2 linked regions of the Oryctolagus cuniculus genome follow. The protein of the gene in region 2 interacts with the protein of the main gene of each other region in a pairwise test. Links are inferred from orthologs where the notes say so. Each region holds a gene or a part of one and is shown on either strand. Other genes may lie near its edges.

Region 1 (3,755 bases), on a different chromosome or scaffold from region 2:
AATAAAACCTGACTACTGCATGTCCTCTGATTCTCCTCCGTTCTCCGCTCTTTCACCACACTCCCTTCCCCGGCCACAAATGCTGTTACCCAGATCTCCCTGAACCTTTCTCTACATACACAACTTTTTTTTTTTGCGGGGGGGGGGGGGGGGACATTAATATTCCATTTCAACCAAGCTGGCAGTTCTAATTCATCCTGGATGTTAGCTAAAGCAAACTTCTCTTTTCAAAAACAACAGTCAGCTTCCAGTCATCCTCCATGTCATCTCCATTCAGATCCTGAGAGCCTGTGTCTCTCAGTCACTCCCCAAAACCTCAATTCTAACCACAGGCTCTTTTCTGAGGGGGGTGGCAGCTAAACTGAGTCCATCCTGTTACTCCTTGGAGGAAGTGGCGTCTACTGCCCCTGGGCCTCAGTTTCCTTGCCTACTAACAAGGAGAAAATGTTTTGCCAAATTTACCAGGCTGTTTGAAGTTCAAGGTGAGGTCGTACAATCGTTAAGTGTTTCAACAGAAAAAGGCTCTAGGAAAACACATGCTAGCATAAGCATAGGAGCCAACCTGAAAAAAACCCCAATGGACTCATCGACAACATTTCGCCTAGCAAAATAAAGCAGTATGGGATTATAACCCATGAGTCCACACTCATATAAATGAGTGAATAAGTTAATAAACACGGAAGAAGGAGACCAATCTCCCACCAGGATAATGCCTAATAATGTATGTGGACACAGCCCTCAAGGAGGAGAGCACAGCTCCTACTCCTAAGGTGGGAGCTGCACACAGTGGCTTCATTCTAAGAGTACAGTATGCAAGAGGGGGGAACCCTTCATTCTTGCATCCAGGTGACCAAGTCCAACATCAAGCCCTAAGTCATGCTGATGGTGTGTACCCCTGATATGACCTGGGGAAAACGGCAAACTGCCTCTGTGGTATTCCTCCTCTACACCTCATGAAGCAAAGTCTTAGGGAAAAAAAATTCAGACAAATTCCATCTACAATCTACATGATCAAACTGTCAAGGTCATCAAAACAAAGTCTGAGAAACTGCCACAACCAAAATGAACATGAGGAGATGCAGAACTGAACATAAAGTGGCAACCTGGACAGGCTCACGAAACAGAAAAAGTGCTTTTTAAGAAAAAAAAAAAAAAAACTAAGGAAATACGAATTCACTGAGGACTCTGGTCAGTAATAATGGTCATTGGTCCATTAATTGCAACAAATGCACCACACTGATGCAAGATGCTGCTAACAGGGGCAAGAGTCGTCGATACTTTATATGGGAACTCTGTACTGTCTTTTCAATTTTCCTAAAATCCAAAAACTGCTATAAAAATAAAGTCAATGTTTAATAAAATACTCTATTTTTAAAAATTGCAATTTGAAGACCATAAAAAATGTCCATTTTTTTCTAAGAGGTAATTTCTTTAAAACTTGGGGGTTAAATATGCTAGGGTTTATGATTTAAGCCAGCAGTTAAACAGAAGGTTCGGGTATGCTTGAACCAATGTCACTCTCCCCTCTCTTCAAACACACACGACTGGTTGCAGTGTCAGACACTGGAACCTACTGGTTATTTGGAAGTGTCTGCCTCTCGCTTACTCCACAAAGTTAAATTCATGCACTTATTTCTAAGGTCAGAGAGAGAATTCGCAGCTCTCAAGCCTATGTGGCTAAACCGGTTTATTCTGACGAAACAGAAAAAGGAAGGAAAGGCAAGAAAACCTGACTCTGACCACGGAGCCGGATTGGCCGCGTCTCTACCCGGCTCCGAGCAACCAGACCGCCATCCGGGCCCCGCTGACTTCTGGCTGTGGGGACTGGAACGCATACGCGCCCACACTGAGCCCTGGGAAGCAGAAAGGCCCGGGAGGGACCCGCAGATGCAGGGGCGGGCGAAGCGGCAGGGCTTGGGCCGGCGGGGAGGTGGCGGCGGGTCCGGCCCGCGCCCCAGCCCGCCGGGCGGCCTGGCCCCGCTCCGCCCCGGGGCCCAGCGGCCGCCCGGCCCTGAGCCGCGCTGGTCAGACCGCCGCCTCGCGGCAGTTCTCATCGGAGGCCGCCACTCACCAGTCCCGAGCTCCGGGTCGCGAATCCGGGGCTGGGGTCGCCTCTCTCCCGCGCCGGTACGTTCGGGGTCCCGCTCCTCCACGAGCCCCCGAGCGAGACAGCTCGTCCCCGCCCCGTAATCTCCCGGCTCTTCGAGGCCTTCCACCGAGATTTTTCCCGAGCGGCCCTGGGATTGGTCGCTGCCGAACTCCGTCTGCCAATGGGCACCTCGGTCTCCCCTACGTCACTGATCACTGGGCAAATCCCCAGGCGGTTGCGGGGGGGTGGAGCGGCAGGACTCGCGAAAAGGAAACCGAAATCCGGCGGGGCGGGGCTGCGCCGGAGCCGCCGCCGGAGTTTGAAGCGGAAGGCCGGTGCCGTTACAGGCTTGGAGGGAGCCAGATTCGGAGGCCTAATGAGACCCCTGCTTGGGACTCTGGGGTGCTAGATTCCCTCCCCTCCTCCCGAGACCCCCAGCTACTCTCGCGATCCCCACCCAGTGCTGGATCCGAGTCGGAGTGCATTTTGAGGTCACGTAACCTTCGCCAGGTGCTTAATATTAAATATCCTCCCACCCCCATCCCCAGAGCGGCCTCAATTTGCTTCCAGAACAAGGTAGCATCTTCGCCAGCGAATAGTCTCTTGGGCCTGTTTACAAAAATTAACCACCTCTGAAGCGCCCGTGACGAATGAGGCGCCTGAGGCAAAATGGCCTGAAGGCAAGCATTGCCCCCATCTGACAGAAAGGAAAGCCGAGGCTCCGAAAGCCTGGGGGGCCTTCCCGCGCCAGAGCGCCCGTGGTGTGTGGGAGGGCGGTTTCCAGGAGGCTCCGCGTCCCCGGCGCCCTCACCGCCTGGCACCGCCCTGACGGTGGCCTCGGCACGTTTTAGAACCTGTTCTGTAGTTGCTGTGGTGGAAGAAAGTGTGTGCTGCTAAGCGGCTCTCCGCCGGTGCTTGCCCCACCTACAGGCCGTTCTGTCACACTGCAGCCGTGGCGCTTCGTTCACCGGGCCTTCCTCCCCTGCCCCGCTTACACTTCTCCGCTGTCTTCCCCACACCCTTAGAGGGACACGGAAGGTGCCCGAAGGGCCCCCGGAAAGCCTGTGGAGGCTCTCTGACTCCCGCCTGCCACCACTCCCTCGGGGAGCTTTGAGCCACCCTGGTCCCAGAGCCTCCTTCTTGTCAGCCATGCACCTGCTCAACTGACCTGTCAGCCCTTCCTCCATCACCCAGTCTACATCAGGCCCCCCGTCGTGTTTTGATTTACTTTCTGCATACAGCTGTCAGCTTTCAAAGCATCTTGTTTATTCCTTTGTGAGCATGTTTATTTTCCATCCTCCTAAGCAGCATGGAAGTTGAAACATCACCCGTGTTCCTTAGCCGTGGTTGTCACTCAATGAATGAATGTTGAGTGAATGAACTCAGCGTGGGCGTTTCTGAATGCTGGCCTCAGCCTTGCTATTCCCTTGCCCAGAACACTATGTCTGGTTGACGCAGCTTCTCGGGTCCAAGTAAGGGCAACAGAAGTGGATGCTGGGAATGCAAGTGACTCCTAAGCTTGCTTTGTGCTCAGAGGCAGCACAGGGTGGTACTCGCCTCTCCAGCTGCTGGTGTTGCAAAACGGTGAAGGTGATCTCAGTTCTTGTCTCATGGCGAAGAAGAATTTCCACATGGACAGGGGGCAGTGAGCAAAGCGAGACTTATT
Region 2 (2,404 bases):
TATTTTAGCCTAAATGTTCTACTTTCCTTGGCAATGTTACAAACAATAAAATACATCAAATGAATTTTAAAACACTCAACAAATGTTACATCTCGAATCACAAAAAAGCGCCTGCACCTCAAATTCCTTATGCTAAATTATGATAAATTATTTAAACGGAAGCAGTTGGTGTGCATGCTGCTTGTTCAGTTCTCTCCAAGTGAAAAATTAAGTCTGTTATGAAAAGAAAGCAGTTCCAGATTAAATAATAAGTCTAAGATGCTAATTATGATTAATACTTTTATATCCTAATCTGGATTCTCAGTTCTGGGGACACACACACACACACACACAATCTTTCATGTAGAAAGACAAAAATTTAGGTTGAAGACAAATACTTGGCAAAGTATCTACCCATGTATCTTCCAGAAATTGCTAGAGAGATGAACAGCTACGAGTTCCATAAATAACCAGTGAACATGCATTCAACTGAGTTAGTTCTAAATGTTGCTAGTAGACTATGTGACTTCACGTAATCTTCTTATCATTATTTCCTATTTTGAGACACTGGTTCCTAAAATATCAGGAATCAAAGTACTATCCATGGCAGTGTGGCAGTGAATTACAATGAAAACGAGGTCTACAAAAGACACAAAATGGTTCCACATTTTAATACTGTCTTGAAAGGTCTGTTACTCTTCAACTACCTCAGTGCATTTATAAAAGTGACAGAGTTGGAATAGTTATTCTAAATCTAAGTAGGTTACTTCTATTAGCAGTATTTGTTTACTCAGAACATATTTCCATTTCAAATATATGTAAAATTTCTCACAAAGTCAGAACACAACTCACAGTCTGAACAGAAACCTCAGTGTTTAAATCTCAACATTCAGCAAATAAACATCATACATGAGGCTGCTTCTGAATACAAATCACTCATTCAGATAAACGGGGTACAATTTCTAACTTGTTAGAAGAAATGATTTTTTTGGTGAAGTTTTGGCTAAAATCAATGTTACTGAAAAATTAATATAAACAAACCAAACTCTAGTACCACATTTGTTAAAGCTTTGGACACAGATATCACCTCAGGAGGGAGCTGGCTGTCCTTTACCTAGGGGTCATTACAGAAACAAGCGTCGTGGTCAGGCCCTAGCTTTTACTACTCACTGACAACAAAGCCTCATTTTGTTTACTGAAGGATTTTTCCTTCACTGAAGACACACTTCTAGCTTAACAGTGGGGAAAAAAGACAGGCCTACTTTAAAAAAATCTGTTCTTCATAAAGTTACTTATTAAGTAGATGTTCATTTTCTGCTGCAAAGACACTCAAGTCTTTTCAAGTACTGACTTGCTGATTTGACAACTGACTCAGAATGGTAAATGAAACCTCCTGACTTCACCTGTAAGAATCTGTGAGTATAGGTATGTATATACTTATATATCTTTTGACGTTATGCCCGTGATCTGATCCTTCTTGATTTAAAATATAACTAAATTTCTCAATAAACAGCATGAATTTTAACTTTTAAACTTAAAACTTACTGCACTGTTCTCATTTTTTTTACTTTTACATTATTTCTATAAATATTCTAGAAAACAAAAATCCCCAATATTGAAACCAACTTACATTGGCAGTTTGAGGCTAGTTTATAACTTCAAAGATATTTTGTTAAAATGTAAAAACCCTGAAATTACAAACAAAAACCTTACAATTTTACAGTATATATCTAATTTATTTTTTTAAAAAAATATTCTGAATTGCTTTTATACAAATAATCAAGTGTTATTTTTTTCAAAGGAAACTCCTTTACAGGCTAAAAGAGGGTGTGTGGTGTTGCCCCATTAAAAACTCAACGCATGTCTCTTGCTCATGCCGGCACTTCCACTATCTCAAAGCAGTCACTTGGCAGAATCACGTAGCCTCTCTCCGACGAGTCGTCTCTCTCCTTCTGGAAGTGCACGACCTCCCTCAGCTTTTCAAGCTGCCGCTCTTGTCTTCTGCATCGCTGCTGTGCCGTCTTGAGCTTCTTCCTGAGTTTCTCGACCTGCTGTTCCAGTTGCTGAATCCTTTTCCTCTGGTGCATCGTGTCCTCCACGGTGTAGTTGTGGTCACAGAAAACCGAGAGGTTGTCAGGGGTCTGCAGAGGAGGCATCAGCAACCCAATAGCAGCATCCATCTGGGAGATGGGCGGTGTTAAAGGAGCTGGAGGCAGCTGCTCCTGTGAGCCCAGCACATCTTCCTTCTAGAACAATGAAGAACAGCATGTCTGAACTTAGTAAATGACAGTGCAAAACAACTCATCTGTGGAAGTTAGGAAATAAGACGTTTTTGTGATTCTGTGGCACAGAAACATCCAAGTAGTTTCCTTCTGAAATAAACTTTCCAACTTAAGGAGAAATGGTAAGCAAGAAAGAGAGAAAA

What was found. The genes of interacting proteins can lie anywhere in the genome.
Region 1: the proteins of THAP1 (region 2) and tripartite motif-containing protein 26 interact in binary tests that used the Homo sapiens proteins (3 or more experiments, as listed by UniProt). The two-hybrid records come from large-scale screens. The link is inferred for Oryctolagus cuniculus from reciprocal best matches to the Homo sapiens genes THAP1 and TRIM26.

What each region holds. Positions count from the first base shown.
Region 1 is NC_091436.1:140,249,594-140,253,348, reverse strand, and holds the start of tripartite motif-containing protein 26, read right to left. Parts: upstream 2,230-3,755; 5' UTR 2,072-2,229; intron 1-2,071.
Region 2 is NC_091433.1:92,915,001-92,917,404, forward strand, and holds the end of THAP1 (THAP domain-containing protein 1), read right to left. Parts: intron 2,226-2,404; coding exon 1,851-2,225; 3' UTR 635-1,850; downstream 1-634. UniProt on the Homo sapiens protein: DNA-binding transcription regulator that regulates endothelial cell proliferation and G1/S cell-cycle progression.